4 linked regions of the Zea mays genome follow. The protein of the gene in region 1 binds, or shares a complex with, the protein of each later gene. Links are inferred from orthologs where the notes say so. Each region holds a gene or a part of one and is shown in the gene's direction. Other genes may lie near its edges.

What was found.
Region 2: General transcription factor IIH subunit 2-like (region 1) and REX1 DNA Repair family protein share a complex: the UniProt entries of both Arabidopsis thaliana proteins name them as parts of the 7-subunit TFIIH core complex. The link is inferred for Zea mays from reciprocal best matches to the Arabidopsis thaliana genes GTF2H2 and AT1G12400.
Region 3: General transcription factor IIH subunit 2-like (region 1) and General transcription and DNA repair factor IIH subunit TFB4-like share a complex: the UniProt entries of both Arabidopsis thaliana proteins name them as parts of the 7-subunit TFIIH core complex. The link is inferred for Zea mays from reciprocal best matches to the Arabidopsis thaliana genes GTF2H2 and AT1G18340.
Region 4: General transcription factor IIH subunit 2-like (region 1) and DNA repair helicase UVH6 share a complex: the UniProt entries of both Arabidopsis thaliana proteins name them as parts of the 7-subunit TFIIH core complex. The link is inferred for Zea mays from reciprocal best matches to the Arabidopsis thaliana genes GTF2H2 and UVH6.

What each region holds. Positions count from the first base shown.
Region 1 is NC_050097.1:31,348,940-31,354,321, forward strand, and holds the start of General transcription factor IIH subunit 2-like, read left to right. Parts: upstream 1-1,802; 5' UTR 1,803-1,822; coding exon 1,823-2,143; intron 2,144-4,184; coding exon 4,185-4,646; intron 4,647-4,726; coding exon 4,727-5,099; intron 5,100-5,382. UniProt on the Arabidopsis thaliana protein: Component of the general transcription and DNA repair factor IIH (TFIIH) core complex, which is involved in general and transcription-coupled nucleotide excision repair (NER) of damaged DNA and, when complexed to CAK, in RNA transcription by RNA polymerase II.
Region 2 is NC_050101.1:47,599,008-47,603,086, reverse strand, and holds REX1 DNA Repair family protein, read left to right. Parts: upstream 1-1,789; 5' UTR 1,790-1,975; intron 1,976-2,437; 5' UTR 2,438-2,467; coding exon 2,468-2,502; intron 2,503-2,604; coding exon 2,605-2,782; 3' UTR 2,783-3,021; downstream 3,022-4,079. UniProt on the Arabidopsis thaliana protein: Component of the general transcription and DNA repair factor IIH (TFIIH) core complex, which is involved in general and transcription-coupled nucleotide excision repair (NER) of damaged DNA and, when complexed to CAK, in RNA transcription by RNA polymerase II.
Region 3 is NC_050099.1:247,476,707-247,481,865, reverse strand, and holds the start of General transcription and DNA repair factor IIH subunit TFB4-like, read left to right. Parts: upstream 1-1,563; 5' UTR 1,564-1,769; coding exon 1,770-1,800; intron 1,801-1,902; coding exon 1,903-1,991; intron 1,992-2,141; coding exon 2,142-2,412; intron 2,413-2,487; coding exon 2,488-2,543; intron 2,544-2,684; coding exon 2,685-2,722; intron 2,723-2,800; coding exon 2,801-2,846; intron 2,847-3,254; coding exon 3,255-3,308; intron 3,309-3,399; coding exon 3,400-3,468; intron 3,469-4,361; exon of another isoform or gene 4,362-4,671; intron 4,672-4,754; exon of another isoform or gene 4,755-5,035; intron 5,036-5,121; exon of another isoform or gene 5,122-5,159. UniProt on the Arabidopsis thaliana protein: Component of the general transcription and DNA repair factor IIH (TFIIH) core complex, which is involved in general and transcription-coupled nucleotide excision repair (NER) of damaged DNA and, when complexed to CAK, in RNA transcription by RNA polymerase II.
Region 4 is NC_050105.1:91,195,813-91,201,038, forward strand, and holds the start of DNA repair helicase UVH6, read left to right. Parts: upstream 1-1,604; 5' UTR 1,605-1,829; coding exon 1,830-2,653; intron 2,654-2,796; coding exon 2,797-2,879; intron 2,880-2,974; coding exon 2,975-3,378; intron 3,379-3,467; coding exon 3,468-3,661; intron 3,662-3,948; coding exon 3,949-4,129; intron 4,130-4,754; coding exon 4,755-4,879; intron 4,880-5,040; coding exon 5,041-5,130; intron 5,131-5,226. UniProt on the Arabidopsis thaliana protein: ATP-dependent 5'-3' DNA helicase, component of the general transcription and DNA repair factor IIH (TFIIH) core complex, which is involved in general and transcription-coupled nucleotide excision repair (NER) of damaged DNA and, when complexed to CDK-activating kinase (CAK), involved in transcription by RNA polymerase II.

The sequences.
Region 1 (5,382 bases):
GGTATAAATGTAATTCGATATTGTTCATATTCATTCATGATAATATAATAAAAATGTCCTGATAATATCATATGATTATTCATGTTATTTTCCATGTCTCATATGTTTCTACTTTTATTATTATATGCTGAGATGATGAAGGTATGTCCTTCATAACCTTCGTCTGATGATCATTATATCCTAAGGGAGATAATGCTTCGAAGGACGAAGGTCTTTGACTATTAACGTTTTGTGTTGTCTTGTTCTTAACTCATAGCATTTGAGAACAAGTGACCAACAACCCCCCTCTAGGCGACTTTCAAAAATCGTCACACATCTCTTTTCTAAATTTACGCGCGTGTAGAGTAACGTGTTTGACTCATGTATGCCTTCCTTATTTTTTTTGCGCGCACAGATGTGGGGTTGGGGGGGGTGCACCCAACAGCCTGCTTAGGGTGTGGGTGGACGCGCTGGCCTGGACAAGTCACATAGGTGGTCGGGCGGGGCTTGCTCTAACTATTTGAAGCTCATGACTTCTAATATACCGACCTTATATATACACACACTAGCCAATTGCTCGTGTTTTGCTACGGTTGTTATTTACCTTATAAATAAGTATTGATATATGTATTCAAATATAATTATTGTTTATTTGTAAATATTAAGATACGCGTGGTCTGGTGGTTAGCCCCAAATTTCTGGAATAGAGAGGCATGGATTCGAGTGATCGTTTTGCACTATTTTTTGCACGTGGGGCCCACAGAGCACGACACCGAGGTAGGGCACGTGGGACGGGGCTAGAGTGTGAGCGCAGAGGGTGCCCACACTAGCACGCTAGTCGCACGTCAGCCACTATTCTCCATGAATCATGAAGGGAAACATGGACCTAAGGCTATCTGCAGCGGTCTTCTCTAAATTTCTCTCCATATATCACTTTTTTTTGTTACATCTTCAATATTTCAGCCCTTTAACTTTTCATCTCCCGCAGCGGTCTCTCCTATTTTCTCCCCTTGTAACTCACTACAACCATAAAATATTATTTCATATATTATTTTTTATCCACTATTAATTTTTCTTATATTAACAATTAGAGCCGAATCCAGATTACAGTAAAATAGAGAAGACGAGCGCACGCTACATTCAGTGGAAAAGAGAAGAGGACGGCACGCCCTTGCATCGTGGGAGGCACCGTAGACGTAGGGGCAGCGCTGCGGACTGCCGTGCGCCGTCATGTGTAAGGGGATGGGGCGCGACGCCCGGCAGCCGCTGCAGTTAGCCTAAAGTCGGCCTACACGTCTCCTCAACTTCAGCCGCCTGCTCAGTTGACAAGTTCAGAGCACTGTTTAAGTACTTTGTTGCTGAGCTGACGGAAGGAAGCAGAAATCAGATAACCACTGACTGGCAAATGTCGTCTGATGGTTGGTAGCACATGTTTCGTTGACCCATTTTCCATCAAGGATGGCATAGAGAGAAAAAAAACGAAGTGTAAACTCTTGAAGTCAGCACCACTTGCATTCTTATGTTTTGGTTGCTGTGTTCTAAACTATCTATTCAGATGTCTCCTGTATACATTTTCTTTACTCTGATATACCGGTATTTCTATATTCCGCTGCTTTTTTTTTTTTGCATTCCTCTATTTTGAATGCTCCTGTATCAAACAGATGCTTAGAAAATTGGTAAAAGGGGCTTAAGGCTCCTGTAAACCAAACCAAAAGCCCAGGAGCCCCAAACTGGAGGCACCAAGCACCCGCCTGGCCCATGTGCTGGTCCCCGAATCCCGACCTCGCCTCCAGTTCCACTCTTCCGGCGGCGTCGGCGGCCGCCCCTTCCCCACGCCCACACCATGTACGGCGTCGGCGGCGGCTTCAACGCGCCCTCCACCGCTGCCTCTCGGCGCCGCAACCCAGGCGACGAAGAGGAGGACGAGGAGGATGAGGGCGGTGAGGGCCGCGTCCTGGAGGCGTGGGAGCGCGCGTACGCGGACGAACGGTCGTGGGAGTCACTGCAGGAGGATGAGTCGGGCCTCCTCCGTCCCGTCGACACCAAGACCCTCGTCCACGCGCAGTACCGCCGGCGCCTCCTACTCCGGTCTGCCGCCGCCGCCGCTGCCCGCATCCAAAAGGGGCTCATCCGCTACCTCTACATCGTCATAGACCTCTCCCGGGTTCGTTCCCTTTGCTTCATGTTCTCTTTCGTTCGGCTTGCCACATCATCAAGCACCTGGCGAGCATATTTTTCTTCGAAGTCGGTTTGGTTGTTTTGGACCCGACAGACTGGTACAAATGCCGATCGTGCTAACTTGACACCGGCTTGTGATTGCGATCTCTTGTTCCGAGAGAGATGTGGCATTGCTTACGGCCTTACTTATGGGCTACACATTTGGTTCTTAAGTGTTCACTTACTTAAGGCATGAACGGAGCAGTGAATACTAGGACTGCCTTTTGCTAGTTTCGTATACCTGTAGGTTCATCTATAAGCTTGTGAAATGTTGTGAAGATGGTGCGGTGATGCCTGTCTGTGAGTAATCCTGGTTTATTTGTTTGTAGAGCGATGTAGGTGATATGATCTGATTGGTTGCCTTTAATGCCGTTTGTTTAGCCCCAAGCTGTGACCATTATCTTATTTGGCTTGTACATTCAGAGGGTGATGCTGTAATTGGAAGACACGAGGCCAATTTTAGAATCTAATGCTGATTTAGCAACTTTAAGATTGAGTCTTTGAGAGATCAATCATTTTATGTGAGGAAACAGTTTGTTAGATGGGTAAAAACGGTATTTTGGAAATTCTAAGATCTACCATGGTTTGTATCCATGGCCCATTGGCCAGGGCATAGGTATGGAGAACTCGAGACCTAATTCTCCACTAAATCCAGAAACCAATGCTACCTTAAGGTTATACGGTAAGAATTTCTGTACTGCAGAATAATAGACTCATGTCTATGAATCATGAAGGGAAACATGAACCCAGGTATTTGCAAATTGCAATTGTTAGTATTGCTGTTGGCAGCAATATTTTGTTTGGAGTTCAAGCCTACCACAACCAAGCAGTCCAAGTTCAATTTTATATGTGTGCACACCAATTGGATTGCTGAAACAAAATGTTGATGACACAATACTTGTTTGGAATTTTCATATATTGAGATTGGATTATCGTTTCATTTTATGCATGAGGTTCTTATCGGATGAATCCTGTTAAATTCTGAAATGTTTTAACTTTTAAGCATACTTTCTGATCTGGATACACTATGTATATTTGATATATGTCGGATAGAGTGAATGTCTCATGTCTCCCTCATCAAACAGACTATTTTTTTTTTCATCAGTTTGAAGGTGTTCCTGGGGAGGGTTATTGCTATTGCTGCCTGGATATGTCTGAAGATGCTTTTTTAATTGTTTCCCCACATCTGGGAAGTTAATTCTCTCTGTCAATCCTTGTATAGATTTCTGTAGAGAAGCAAATCACGTGCCATATGGTTTTGTTTTTACCATTGGCATGGCTTGCTCCAACAAAATCCTGACATCACAAGAAGTGCATGAACTATGGTTGCAGGAAAAGGTCTTTAACAATTACCACATAGTTGATCTATGGAACACTTCTATATGTAGACACAAAATATAGACTACTCTTGGAATTTAAAAATAAAAGGATGTTTTCATTTTTTTTGGTATTGATCCAGACCCTATGGATTTGCACAAATGAACAGTTAATCTTCACTGATGAATTAGGTAGATATGGAATTATTTGATACATGTTCATTTGACTTATGGTAACATTATTCCAGGACTTACTGCAAAGAGTCATCAGGATGTGATAATTTATTTTTGTTGTTAAAAATGTGCAAAGAATAATGTCTATTCAGCTGATTGTATATTTTATAATGTCAATTGAGATTTGAGAATGAAACAATCAAACACTGCTTTAACTAACATGGATTTTTTTTCTGATATGACAAAGCATACATTTTGATTTTTGTATTGTTTCGAAACTGCACATTTCTCGTAAAAAATATCTCTCTAACATCCTTGTCAATTGTTTTTTTCTCTGGTAATTTTATAACCTTATCTTTGAGCATGCATACATGTTTCAAGTTTATAAGATTGGCTTCCTCAGTTGTTTTTGTGGCAGCGAAGAATTGTTCTACTTCAAATAATCATTACACGCTCTTTGCACCTTTGCGTTCTCAAAATTGTTTTTTACTCATGTAGGCGGCTTCAGAGATGGATTATCGTCCTAGTCGAATGGCTGTTGTTGCAAAACATGCTGAGGCTTTCATAAGAGAATTCTTTGACCAGAATCCATTGAGCCATGTTGGCCTAGTGACAATTAAAGATGGTATTGCCCATCGACTTACAGAAATCGGAGGGAGCCCAGAGTCACAGATTAAGGCTTTGATGGGGAAGCTTGAGTGTTCTGGTGATTCATCCCTGCAGAATGCTCTAGACCTCGTACATGGTTATTTAGATCAAGTACCATCATATGGTCACAAGGAAGTTCTGATTTTATACTCTGCCCTGAATACATTTGATCCTGGTGATATCACGGAGACAATAGCAAAGTGTAAGAAGTCAAAAATTAGATGCTCTGTTATTGGTCTTGCTGCAGAGATCTTCATTTGCAAACATCTATGTGAAGAGACTGGTGGATCTTACACAGTTGCACTGGATGAGGTGCTAAGATGTAATTTTGATTTTACCTTTGATTATTCGATCGTTATGAAAGATTAACGGCATTTCCTTTCTTTTTACAGTCTCATTTCAAAGAGTTGTTACTGGAACATGCTCCCCCACCTCCTGCAATAGCAGAATATGCTGCAGCTAATTTGATTAAGATGGGCTTTCCACAGAGGGGTGCTGAGGAGCTTATCTCTATTTGCTCTTGTCACAAGAAGATAAAATCTGGGGCTGAAGGTTACATATGTCCTAGATGCAAAGTTAATGTCTGTGAGCTTCCAACAGAATGTCGAACTTGTGGTCTTACGCTAGTTAGTTCTCCACACTTGGCAAGGTCGTATCATCATCTCTTCCCAGTACCACCGTTTGATGAGGTCACCCCTGTCCCAAATAGAATTCAAAGGGGAGGGCAGATCTGTTTCAGCTGCCAGCAGAGCCTTTATAACCCAGGTATGCTTAAGCTGTCAAAGCTCGTGTCCGCTACTTCTTTAGACTAGAAAATATATCTTTCACCTAGCCTGCATATGTTCAATGGTACAAACCTTATAGTTGATAGCAGGTATTTCATAAATTCATATGTCCTTTTTTTTTGCAAGGAATAGTGGTACCTGTCCTCTTTTTGAGGAATTGTGATACCTGTCCTTATTCTAACTATTCTTTCTTAGTAAAGCATGTCCAACTAAAAACAAGATGGCATGGCAATATGGGGAGCTTATTCAGCAATAGCCTCAAA
Region 2 (4,079 bases), on another chromosome or scaffold:
TGGTTCGTGGTTAACTACATCACAGTTTGTCTAAGGTTAGTCATTTAAATTAAAGAACTAACCTTAGACAAAAAAGTTAGCTAAAGTGTGACATGTTAAACAGCGAACCAAACAGACCTTTAGTCTCTCCTAATTTTTTTCAGATATGTCACTGGATGGAAGTTGGCGATCGAACAAGGCGTTTGATTGCTTATACCATTTTATGAGCATCGTCACCTTGCATTTTGTAGAAGGTATGCTTACCCCTTAATTTGTGATGGGATTGAAAATTAGAGTTTTTGTATGTCCAAAAACAATGTATATTTTGATTTATTTGAACACACAGTCGATGTCATTTCTGTTTGGCAATCCTAGGTAGAGATGGTAATGAAGTCCCGTTCCCCGCGGAGATATTACAAGACGGGGATAGTTACAATTTATTTCAATGAGGTATTAAAATGAGAAAGAATCATCTCCATCAGGTTTAGCGGGGACGAGTATGGTAGTCTCTTCTTCGTCCCTAATCCTCACGAGCCCATATAAACAGGCACTAAAGAATTCGGGCCATAGAATTAAGACTCAATGACCGACATATATAAAGTGACCAGCAAAGTGAGAAAACTAGCTTCTATTCTGTCATCGTCGCCGACTCGACTCTCTCGTTCGTCCTCCCAAATCCCAATCTCCCTCGAGCGGGCGGGCCAGGCAGCAGACCAGCTCTCCAGCGTGCTGGGTGCAGGGCTGCACCGCTACAAGCCGTGCAGCACACTGCACATCCCCTCAGGTTTGATTGTTTGAGACCGTCACAGTCATGTTCACCTGGAGGCTGGAGGCCGCTGGCCGCAGGTCTCTCACTCTCTTTGTCTCCTCAATTACTACTACCTAACACATCTTTGGTCACTTGTATTAGCAAATCTTGGGCAGCGGCACATCTGCACATGCCGTGCATTCATATAGCCACGTCCATGCTGCACGCACAAATTTTATTTTGTTTGATAATTACTTCCCCACCAAATGAGCTACGTTCTTGTCCAAAATTATAATAAATGCGCAAGTGATTTGCTGTGTGGTGGTGTGAAGCTCTGCGCGAAGTGATTTGTGTATTTTTTTCTCCTTTTTCATGAAATTTCGCAATTTAAGGTCATCTAATTTATTGGGTATGAGTACGACAGTTTAAGTATCAAATTTATGAATACCTAGTACCTAGTTAATCAGCAACCTTGCAGACCTAAAATATCCTAGATTTGTAGTAAGTTTTTCACCATCACCTTTTCAAAATTCTGTTACACAGTGTGGTTCCTCACTGAATTTTAAGTACTGTCATATGACAATTTGGTTCTGCTATTGCTGGACATAAATTTGTAATTCTCTGTTCACGCATTACACCGAACAACTACAGGGTACGGAGGGATTCAACGACAAACATAATAATCGCTTCTATTATTTTCGTAGGGGCAAGTAGGCCAGTCATCAACCGAGGTCAGCTGAGTCAGGAGAGGAGGAAGTGGCCCTCGGGTGTTCCATGATTCGTACGCAATTTTTTTTTTGGAAATTTAGATTCATACCATTAAAAGATCACCACTTTGGATCCATACCATTACTATCTCACTTATATATAGGTCCACATGAGTCAATGACATGTGTGATCCATGATATATATCTAAAGTTTGGATCTTTTAATGGTATAGATCTAATTGTTCTTTTTTTTTTTTGTGGACGGAAACTGCGGTGTCAAATTGCAAGAAATGGGTCGGACCGTGGGCTGTGAACATGGGTTTGGTGGGCGGGCGAAGAAGCCAGCGGGCCCAGCATCTTTATCGTCTGCCGCAAAGAGGGCTGAAGGAGAAGCGAGGAAAGGTGAGGCCGATAGATAGAGGAGCTGCGGCGCCGCCGGCGAGCGAAGAGTGGAGGATCCGATCCGAAGCGAGAGGACTGAATCCTGCGGCCGGGAGGGACGCGGGACCACGACGAGCGTCGTCGTCGGTGCCAAGCAACGGTGAGGCCGTCTCGGATCTGAACTTTTTTGTTTGGTTTTTTTCCCTCCCGTTCTGAATCGACATGGTGAGAGCAAGAGAGTTGGGAATTGGGACGGATCATGGAACTCCCCGAGGGCCACTTCTTCCTCCGACTCAGCTGACCTCGGTTGATGATTGGCCTACTTGCCGCTACGAAAATAATAGAAGCGATTATTATGTTTGTCGTTGAATCCCTCCGTGCCCTGTAGTTGTTCGGTGTAATGCGTGCACAGAGAATTACAAGATATCCGCTGAGATTATGCGCGCAAGAAAACGTGGAGCATCTTGCTGACCCTTTGTTCTGTCCTTCAACCAATCCTACAATCACTGCGACACCAGTCTATCACCTTCATGCGCGTCGTTTTCGTGCGAAAAGTTTGCAGTCCTGGTGCTGCTTCTTTGGTACTCCAACTGACGTTGTTTCTGTGTGGCGATGTAACCAGGCAGTTGTCCCTGTCCAGAGCACAGGCAAGATGGTTAACGCGATCAAGGGGCTGTTCATCTCCTGGTAAGCTCTCCTGACGCAGCTGAAAATGAATCCCTCGTTTGCATTTCTCCCTCTCTCCCTGCCTTTACATGGTTGCCGTCCGTCCGTCCCTCTATTTTTCAGCGACGTACCTATGGCACAGTTCATCGTCAACCTGAACGCGTCGATGCCGCCGTCGGAGAGGTTCATCGTGCACATGCTCGACCCTACCAACATGTTCGTGCAGCCTCACGTGGCGCACATGATCAGGAGCAAGATCGGGGAGTTCAGGGACCAGAACAGCTACGAGAAGCCGCAGTAGTGGAGGATCTACCGCGTCCTACACTCCTTCCTTGGGACTTGCTTTCGTTGCCTGTATTATTTCTGCTGTGAGCTGAGCACCTCAGCGGAAACGAGTACGCCAAATAGATCCCACCTGTGGCCTTGAAATCATACTGCTATGTGCTATAAACGTGCAGAGGGCACTGCTACTGTGCTGCACTTGTGGTATTCTGGGATTCTTTTTGTCAGGTCCTTAAAATCCGTTGAGAATTTGAGATCCAGATGGGGCTTAGACCCCGTTTCAATCTCACGGAATAAACTTTAGCTTCCTGCTAAACTTTAGCTATATGAATTGAAGTGCTAAAGTTTAGTTTCAATTACCACCATTAACTCTTCTGTTTAGATTATAAATGGCTAAAAGTAGCTAAAAAAAGCTGCTAAAGTTTATCTCGCGAGATTGGAACAGGGCCATAGTCACGTATATCTGTGCCTTTATTTGTATGTATCTTTGTCTTGCTATGGACAACAAAACTACGGTGGCACACTAACAGGTAGTTTGGAAATCCAAATCCTCTAGAGATCCCTATATTTTCCCTCGGTGAGTAATCCTAGGAACATTATCTGCATAAGGGCTTGCTTGAGAGCAATGATATTCAAAATTGAATAACATGAGAATTTTAGACTCTTATAAGCCCTTCTAGTATTCTTGCTCTCAAACAAACCCTAGGATTAGGGCTGGAAACGAGCCGAGCGGTGCAGCTCGGTGGCCGACCGAGCTCGGTTCGGCTCGTCTGTTTCACGAGCTGGAGAAACAGGCTCGGTTCAAAGGCGGCTCGCGAGCCATACCCTGATATTATATAATTTCATTATATAGTGAATTATTAGTATATAAATATGAAATATATAGATATCATTCATTATTATGAGTAATCTAAATTATTGTTTTTATATATCTATCATAAAACGCTAAGTAACTTACAATCTATAAAATTAGCTAATATCCATCATTATATCATTATTCTATATGTTAAGTAATTTGTCACAGCTCACGAGTCGGAACGAGCCGCTCGATGCTCGCGAGCCGAGCCGCTCCGAGCTCGAGCCGGCTCGCAAGCCTCGAGCTTATTTTCTAGCTCTACATAGGATATTTAGTTATTTATAGAAGGTTTTCTCTCACTCCATTTGTCTCCTATTTCTTGCAAACTAGGGCTAAGTTATATTATCTCCAGCAAGCTCTCTATTTTAAACTTCACTCTACAAACAGTGTAATTTACAATGCAAAACAATACTTAGCTTAGTGGTTACAAGTTATGTATCCATGATTTAAGCACATCCTA
Region 3 (5,159 bases), on another chromosome or scaffold:
TCTCCACTCTCCAGTACGAGAGCCACGCACACTCCCACTACATTTGGGTTATGCATAACAGGTTGGCCCAAAGCCCACAATTCTAGTTATGACTCAGTCCTTCACAGCTCAACCTATCTATAGGCTCGGGCCGGCCTGAGATAATGCATGGACCGTGCCTGGGCCTCAACTTAAGCACACAGACCGGCCTGACACGACCCATTTAACTAAGGTACACTAAAGCCTACTAGCAATTCTATCCGTCCGATAGTATGGCGGCGCCGCCATCCAACGACCACTAGCCATTCGACCATTTCCCCACCATTTGGTGCATTTCCGGATTCCCCAAGGCCCAAACGCAAGTCACCAAAACGGCAAAACTAGACAACCCGCCGACCGCCGCAACCCTAAACCTAAAGTCCTAAACGGCTAAACGCTCAGTCGCTCACACGTAGAGATGGTAATGGATACCCGAAACCTGAATACTCGACGGGTTTTACCCGATATGAAGGCGGGTACGGGATGATTTCTCTACCCGCAGATATGTTAATGGGTAAAACCTCTACCCGTTGGGTAGACGGGTATGGGTACGAGTTGGTACTACCCGTACCCGTCTACCCATGGGTAAAATATGCCCGCATCAATACCACTATAACCATCTAATAGAGCTCATCCTAGCTAAAATAAAACTCTTCTTTTACTATCATTTGTCTAGATACCAAGTTATGTGATTATATGATTTGTTATATGTGAAGTTGATTTTTTTTGCATGTTTATTTAATATTTTGAGTGATTGGTATATTGAAATTTAAGACTTTCCTATCGGGTTCGGGTTGCGCGACGGGTAAAAATACCCGCGCGGGTACGTGTATGGGTAAGATTTTATACCCGCAAACATATATGGGTAATCCGACAGGTAGATTTTTTTTGATAGATACGGGTATGAAATGATACTATCGGACGGTTGGACTGGGCAAAAAGAATCGGAACCGAGGAACCGAAACCGAACTAACCGAACCGAGGAACCGTTATGAAATTTGGTTCTGTTTTTCTAAGAACCGAAATAAATGAGACATTTTCGGTTCTGCACTCCAAAGAACCGAAAAACTCAAAAGTATTAGATTCAATTTGTTACATGTGTTTGTAACTTCGGATGTTGTGTTATCAACTTATGTTGAACCTCTAATCATCCATGTATTATTTATGAAATTATGGTCATTGCGCACTTGTGGTTGTTTATGGGGAGATGTTGCTGAAATTTGTCACAAAAGTTGTCGTTATTCAGAATTTTAGAGTGACTGTTATAGTTCGGTTAGAACCGAGGAACCGAACTGAAGAACCGAGAACCAAATTAGTCGATTATAGTTTTTTTTATCTTACTATTTCGGTTCTAGTTTTTAAAGGACCGAATTTCTACAAGAACCGATGAACCGAACCGAATAACCGAACGCCCGGTCCTACCGGACGGGTATGCCCGTTGCCATCCCCACACGCCGCTCACACGCCGCCTCCCTCGTTCTCGCGCCGACGCTCGCCGCACCGCCTCCCTCTCCCTCGTTGTCGCGCCGCCTCCCTGTCCCTCGTTCTCGAGCCGCCACACCGCCTCCCCAGCCGGCCAGGTAACACACGGCGGCTCTTCCCTGCTGGGCTTCGGAGCTGCCAGTCTGCCACGCCGCCGCCCCAGCAGAGAGGCGAGCACCCCCGCCGGCGCCTCGGAGCTTTGAATTGGCTGGGCGCGCGACCGGCCTCTGCCGCCGGGCCGCGAGCAGCAGCAACCCCCCTCGCCGGCCATGACCTCCGCTCACTCCAAGCTCTACTCCGGTGAGCCACGCGCCACTCTTGCATCCCCGTACTCCGCGATGCCCTCATGGTCCTAACACACACGCGCTCAACCCATCTGGTGCCACCCGTCGGCGCGTGCAGATGACGTCAGCCTCGTCGTGGTCGTCGTCGACACGAACCCCTTCTTCTGGGCCGCCGCGGCGCTCCCCTTCGCCGACTTCTTCGCGCACGTATGCAACCCTAACCCTCCATTTGCTTCCCTGCGCCTGCTTCCTTGTTCGATCTTCACTGGCGATTTTGTGCGTTAGATGACTCGTTGGTAGCGGTGCCCTGATCCGTCCATTGGGCCTTGGCTTGATGTGATATCCATGCCCGTGCAGCTGATCCACTTCGTGAACTCCCTCCTGCTGCTGAACCACCTCAACCGTGTGGTCGTCATCGCGGCGGGAGTCAGCTCGTGTGCCTACATCCTGGATTCCAGCGATGCCAGCCCCTCCGGTGGTGTGGCCGTCTCGGACACCTTCGACAAGGCAAGCCGCAAGGCGGAGGAGTTCATTGCACAAGATGCGCGCGCCACTGCAGGCAACGGTTCCGTTGCTTCTGCCAATGCCGCGTCGCTGCTCTCTGGGGCGCTGTCCATCTCTTTGTGCTGTATCCAGTCGCTTGAATTCCTTGACTATTGCACATTCACCTATCTTATTTGTGCTCGTGTTGCTTAACATTGAGGTTATTTAGATATACAGAGGATTTTCCGGTCTGGGTCTCGGCATCCACAACCTCGGGTGAGTGTAGAGTTCTGAGTAATGTTTAATTTCATCATTTGTGATCAACAAATAATGCTTTGTTTGGCCCATAATTTGTTGTAGTCAGTATTCTCATACTTATTATAATGCCACGGCAGTTGATACTAACACGAGATACAGATTTTGTGCCTGCAGGGATCTCCAGACGGACCTGAACAGTATGCACGCATCGTCATCAATGCAGTTTCTAGTTTTTTTTCAGGACCTAGTTTTCACTTCATCAAATTTATGTGCAGATATGTGGCAGTGATGAATTCAATATTTTCTGCTCAACGTTCCATGGTATCACATCAATTGCTTAATCCATTTTAGTCCCATTGAGATTTATTGATCTTTTCGTTTCACCAGCCAGTCACTATGTTGTTACTTATTACTCCTTCTGTCCCAGTATATAAGGCGTAACCACCTCTGGCTCAAAGACCAAGAAATGTATTTAATTCTCTCTATACTTTTGCATCGATGTACGCATGTCTAGAGATAATACGCCTTGTATTATGGGACTAGAATAAAAAGTAGTTACACCTTATACACTAAGATAGAGTAAGTACTTAATATCCAAATTTGACACATGTAGTGGGTTCAGAAAGAGCAAGACATTGGAATGTGCCTATGTAGATATGCATCCATAATTGTTCCAAAACTTTAGCTACGGTGGCTTAATGACTGGCAACATTCTTACTAATCTCTTAGGTACCAATTGACTCTTGTATTGTGGGAACCCAGGATTCTGCTTTCTTGCAGCAGGTAATGCTCTTTAGTACTCATCAAATTCATCCACATGTTATACTGTCACAACATCCTCTTGCTGACTAGTTACCGATATTTCATTATGCAGGCTTCGTACATAACAGGAGGAGTTTATTTGAAGCCACAAGAACTAAATGGCCTGTTTCAATACCTTGCCGTAAGTTATCCAGGCTCCCTCTGCTGATATTAATATATCAGCTCATATAGTTCTATTTTTCCTTTTGGGGGCTTTTGAGAATGTATTTATATCCCTACTACTCTATAAGTCCTCATTGTAGGCGTCCACATGTGCGTCATGTTCTGCCTCTCGACGCCCGCCTGCCCGCGCGTCCCGCTCCTGCGCGCCCCCGCTCGTGATGCCCGTCCCGCCTCCCCGCTGTGGCAGCCGCCTTCGCGTCCACCGCGAGATCCCCGCCCTTCCCATGGAACCCCGCTCTGCACCCCTCCCAGAGCTCTGTCGTGTCATCCCCGCCCTGCCCCCCCTCGAAACCCCGTTCCCTCCGGCCCCGCCCTCGCCCTCCTCCCACTCCGACGCACTCGAGAAGCCGTTAGCCAACGCCGCCGCTTCCACCTCTGAGTCCTTCGTGGCGCTCAAGGCCCATTATCCCCCGCCTCCCCCTCCCGTGCCGCCTAGGTCTCGTTGGATAAGATGTCGATCCGGGGTCGATGAGCACTAGACCTTCTCCGATTCTCTAGCGACCCTCCCCCACAACCACGGTCTCGCGCGAGCTTGGTCGGCTTCGTCAGCGAAGCTAGGCAGCAGGCGTGGGCAGTCGGGCTGGTCCAGGGACGCCAGCTCGCATCTGTCGGTTTCCATCCGCAAAGGTAGCAGCAGACGTCGCCGTCGACTGTCGCGGGCACCGACGACCAACACCACCTTCCCTTCGGCCCAAGATCAGCATCTGTAAACGCCTTTGACCGTCTGTGCCTCGATCCAAGCTCAAACCACGGGCAAGCAAACACATCGCATCTCCAACCTCCTCGGTTCGGTCGGCTACCCCAGATCGACAGCTTTCAGGTGTGTGTTCCCCTATTTTTTTATTTTTTGGATGAACACTAATGGTTATGAGGTGAATAAAGTGGCGAATAAAGTACCCTGCTATGAGTTTGAGATAATTCAATGTTGTGTGAGAAAGAGCAAAACCTTGTCACACTTTGCCCACCTGAGCCAGCACGAAACCTTCTCCGGCAATCGGTAGGGTTCCAATGTCGCAGGATCCACCTCGAGGGATTTGGGATCTGTCCAAATGTACACACCGCGCTCTTGTCTGCTGCCTGGCACTGTGTTGTCAAGGATCAACGCGACAAGGAGAGCCACCACAACGTTGATGGATAGGAGCACGTTCACTGCATAGTTCAGCTGCAGGACAATTTAGACTGTCAGTAATTCGATTGACGGGAACACATTCTAGCTGCACGGGTAAGGAAGGCAGCAGAGCTCACCCCGCTGCTGGCTGTGCGAACTGGCCCACTTGACGCTGCAGCATATGGAAGAAGATAGCTGGGCAAGATTAGGTTGCAGCTGGGTTCATACTGCTGAAAGTATGCGGGTATCGACAAGGAGATGAACAGGGTAAATCCAACTATTATCATGTTCCTGGAGCGTGCTGCTTGGGTGTATCGCAATGTGGACAAACCAAGCGCGACAATTAGCGCCCAGGTGAAGCACAGAACAGAGGCGGCCAAGGCAAGAGGTATAGAGGCTAGGAGAGCTCCGATTTTACCTACAGCCAAGGAGCTCAGCTTTAGGAAGTCCGTACTTCATAAAAAAATGATGGGACATAATTGCAGTATAGAAGCCGCATCATACCAAAGAAGGAGAAGATGACTAACACGGCTGCCCCAAGC
Region 4 (5,226 bases), on another chromosome or scaffold:
AGGCCATTATTAACCAGGCCAAATTTTGGTCACAGTTTGACTAAGCTTGACTTCAAATTAAAATCATACTATAGAACAAAACTTTCACTCATATGGTTTATTTGACTATACCTAAGCTATATAAATGAGCAATTTATTATCTGACCAAATTTTAATTTAGAGTCAAATATGGTCAAATACTGACCAAATTTTGGCTTGGCCACCTAAGGCTTTAAACCAAATAGAACTAACCAAAATACACTAAAATCTCTCTCTATATCTCTACTATATTAAAATATGAGTTTCAACAGTCGTTCTGCGTCATCTTTTTACAAATAACACATCACATCTACTTCAAATTAACCTGTTGCACGCCTGTCCCCTTAACGGCAGCCTGGCACGGGCTCGACGCCCGCAGACCGCAGCTCTGGCCCAGGCACGACACACCGGCCCGTTAGCCCGTCGGGCCATTTGGTTAAATCAGCATAAAATGTTAAAAAATAGTGTCGAAGGTGGGGTTTGAACCCACGCCTATTGGAAGAATGGCGGGAGACACTAGGTGAAATCGTCTAACCAGTAGAACATCATACTCAGATGTTTTCAATATTGAATATAAATTGTACATGTGTATATATGCTTTTTTGTAAAATTAAAAATATATAATCGTGTCGGGTCGAGGCTACGGCCCAAGCATGGCACAACACTCATGTCGGGCTGGCCTAGACACTATTAAATGGGTCGTGCCTCAGACTAGCCCACCAGACACGACACATTTGATCATCTGTACCTTCGCACGATAATGATAGTACTCGACTCAGTTGTCACCACCTCGTTCGTCATCCTACTTCTTTTCTCTCTCCCCTCATGCCTCCGCCTCCGTGCCACCCCATTCTCGGCGGAGGGTGTGGAAGCAGACGCCTCCTCCCCATATTCGTCTGACACCAGCCCCTACACCGACCCACGCAGTGGCTATTGCACATCCATGAGGACGTTTCATAGCATGCGCGCACCATTGTTTTCGCCGCTGTCGGAAGTCTCGCTCGTCTTTCTGGCCTTCGCCATGTTCTTCCTCCCCAACCTGCTCCCCCGCCCACGGTTGCAGCCGCGAGCCGACCGACGCTCGTCGACACGAATATGGGGTGTGTCGGTCTTGCTCTTGGCCTTTCTCCGTGCGTGTTGCCGAGGAGGACACAATATTGTTGTGAGCCGTCGCAATAAAAAATTGTAAGATCTCTGTACGAGCCCAACCCAGAAGGTTGTACTTTAAATTCTACTCTAGGGGTACAAGGCCTGTTTGGTTCAACTTTTCTGAGAATCTGAATGTGGGGAGAATCTGGATGTGTAGAGAATTTGAGTATCGTTGCGATTATGTGCAAAGAAAGATGAATTTGTCTATAGGGCTCAGGATCTAGAAATTGACGGATTCCTATTATTGCAACGACTCAACCGATTATGTGTTTATATTGATTTCAGATGGTTTTACCAAAATTAATTTTATAGAAGCTAGCTAAAAAGTTGAGCGTTTAACCGTCCACAATAATTTTTGGTGGACAGAAACCGAAAAAACTGAAACAAAGAGGGCTATGAGTGGCCTTCCCACCCTTTGTATCGTTCATTCGTAGCCCGTAGCTCGCAGCCGACTCTGTTCTCTGTACCAGCCCAACCCAGAAGCCTATACTCGTTACGATTACGAGCCCACCAGCATCTCCTCTGCACGGGGGCATTCCACCGAGCACCTCACGTGATCTCCACCCCGCGGCGGCGGCGCGAGCACCGTCTCCGCCTCTCCGCTCTCCGGCGAATCAAACCCCTCCGGCGTTGCCCCTCGGTTGCCTTTCCCCTCCGCCACAATGCGGTTTGACCTGGATGGCCTGCCCGTGCACTTCCCGTACGCGGCGATCTACCCGGAGCAGCACGCGTACATGGGGGAGCTCAAGCGCGCCCTCGACGCGCGCGGGCACGCGCTGCTCGAGATGCCCACGGGCACCGGCAAGACGGCGGCGCTCATCTCCCTCATCACCTCCTACTCCCTCGCCAACCCGGCCCGCCCGCTCCGCCTCATCTATTGCACCCGCACCGTGCACGAGATGGAGAAGACCCTCGCCGAGCTCCGCCTCCTCTTCGCCCACCTCCCGCCCGCGGCCTCCCGCTCCCTCCTCGCGCTCGGCCTCTCCTCCCGCAAGAACCTCTGCATCCACCCGCAGGCGTCCGCCGCCGCCGCCCGGGACTCCGTCGACACCGCCTGCCGCCGCCTTACGGCCTCCTGGGTCCGCGAGAAGGCCTCCTCCGACCCGGACTCCACCCCGCTGTGCGAGTTCTACGAGACGTTCGACCGGGCCGCTGCCGCCGGCGACCTCGCCTCCTTCATGCCGCCCGGGGTGTACACCCTGGCAGACCTCCGCGCGCTCGGAAGGGAGCGCCGGGTCTGCCCTTACTTCCTTGCCAGGCAGATGGTCAAGTACGCCAATGTTGTGGTGTACAGCTACCAGTACCTGCTCGACCCCAAGGTGGCCAGCATTGTGTCCAGGGAGATGCAGAAGGAGTGTGTGGTCGTGTTCGATGAGGCTCACAACATTGACAATGTCTGCATAGAGGCGCTGAGCGTCAGCATCCGCAAGCAGACGCTGGAAGGCGCAGAGCGAAATCTGCGGCGCATCTCGCAAGAGATCGACAGGTACCACTCCCAATTGTTGGATATACTTAAGCCAGCCACCAATAGCCACTGAACGATAGGTCCTGTTTCTTTAGAACTATTCATCTTCAACTTTGTGATGGATAGTTAAGCTTGCTTTGCCAACTGCTTTATCTGGTAGGAAGGTTCAAGGCCACCGATGCCAATAGGCTTCGTGCTGAATACAACAGACTGGTGGATGGACTGGCACAGCGAGGAAATCTACCAAGTAAGCACTGGCCTTTTGCCACCAGTACTGCATTTCGCACTGTCAGCTATAGCCTTCTGCATATAGCTCACAGTATTATGCTTCTTGTGATGAAGTATCGGATGCTTGGCTCGCGAATCCGTCTTTGCCTGATGACATCTTGAAGGAAGCTGTTCCTGGAAACATAAGGAGGGCTGAACATTTTCTTGCTGTCTTGCGGAGGCTTGTGAGATTCCTTGATGGCCGGCTTGAAACAGAAAATGTTGAGAATGAAATGCCAGTTTCCTTTGTTGCCTCAATCCATTCCCAGGCTGGAATCGACCAAAAAATGCTGAGGTTTTGTTATGACCGGCTACACTCCCTAATGATGACATTAGAGATAACTGATACAGATGAGTTCATGCACATACAGACCATATGTGACTTTGCCACACTGATTGGAACTTATACACGGGGCTTTTCTATTATAATAGAGCCGTATGATGATAGAATGCCTGATATTCGTGATCCTGTTATTCAGGTACCCAGACTACTCTTTGTGATCATGCTGAAATTGTATACACACTCTGCTTCTTTAGTGTGCTACTAATGAACTCATTTGTTCTGCAGCTGAGTTGCCATGATGCTTCACTCGCAATAAGACCTGTTTTTGATCGTTTCGAAACGGTTGTGATCACTTCTGGAACTCTCAGCCCAATAGATCTTTACCCTCGTCTCTTGAATTTTAATCCTGTCATAAGCAGAAGCTTCACCATGTCCTTAACAAGAGATTGTATTTGTCCCATGGTCTTGACCCGAGGAAGGTATGAGCTGGTCCCACGCGAACTTCATATTTCAAAATCTACTGTACTGTAGCATGACACTTATGTTAAGCATGGCACTTATGTTAGTCTTTAAATGCTAGCATTGTCAACATATTCTTAGGTTTGGAAATGCTAACACTGTCTTGCGTATACATGATACATTTTTATTCCTGAGAATCATATGACACTTATGTTAAGCTTTTATAACATCTTTAGTTGTTTCCAACATTTCATATTACTGGTAGCATTGTACACTGTGTAAACACCAACCATTCCATCATCTTCAGTGATCAGCTACCTGTGAGTACAAAGTTCGATATGCGTAGTGATCCTGGTGTTGTGAGGAATTATGGCCGCCTCTTGCTGGAAATGGCTTCTGCTGTTCCAGATGGCATAGTTTGCTTTTTTGTCAGTTATTCCTATATGGATGGCATTGTCAACAGCTGGCACGAAATGGGAATTCTGCAGGTTATTTCTTTCACTTGTAAATTTCTTTCTCATATAAACCCTACAATTAATATAGATATGGCAATGAGGGATGTGTCTAATCGTGTAACACCTATGCAACTCAGCTAAGTTCATAAATCGTCCATATCTGTTAGATAATTGGGCATGTCCTCTGGAACATCATCGGTTTATAGTAAGTATATGAAATGGTGTCTAAGCATCTAATTCCATATTGTTGTCTGTTTTAGATTTTCCATTCAACTATCTATATTGATAATAACTTAATAAGACTATAAGTCTATAAGAGTCTCAAGTTGCATTAAGACTCACTCCTGTAGACACTGTCAAATTATTTATTACATCGGCAACATGCATAATTGCATATGGAACTGGATAGGCTGCTTTAAGTCTTTCCTTTGGTTCTAGATAGATGCTATCTAGTCTTTGGACAAAGAACTACATCTACCATATCTTCGGTTTTGTTATCTAAAGGATATGCTCGGTATTGGTGCTAATTTTTGTTATCCACAAAGATATGCTAGTCATCTGTGTTATGAAAATAAAATACCTGTAAATGTTATATAGCCAAGATAAGATGTATATGCATTAGTTCCAATAACGAAAACCTGGTTTTACTGTTTTTCAGGACATCATGCAACATAAATTAGTGTTTATCGAAACACCAGATGTCGTTGAGACAACATTGGCTCTTGATAACTACAGAAAGGCATGTGATTGTGGAAGAGGTGCCATTTTCTTCTCTGTTGCCAGGTTGGTCCACCTTATTATTTTGCGTTCTGAAAGCAACCTTCCAAAATTTATATTTGATCATGTCAAATAATCAGTAATGTGACTGACTATGTGATATAGATAAAAATGTTGTCGCCATTGTAAGCTATAGTTTCACTTTTGCTAACACTTAACTAATGCAGGGGCAAAGTTGCTGAAGGTATTGATTTTGATCGGCACTATGGCAGATTAGTTATCATGTTTGGTGTTCCTTTCCAGTACACATTGAGTCGGTGAGTTTTGTTCACATTGAGCTTCAACCCTCTCTACCCCTTGATTTTGGTGCCAAGTTATAGGTAGTTTGATGCATGTACGCAGTTGTAATTTGT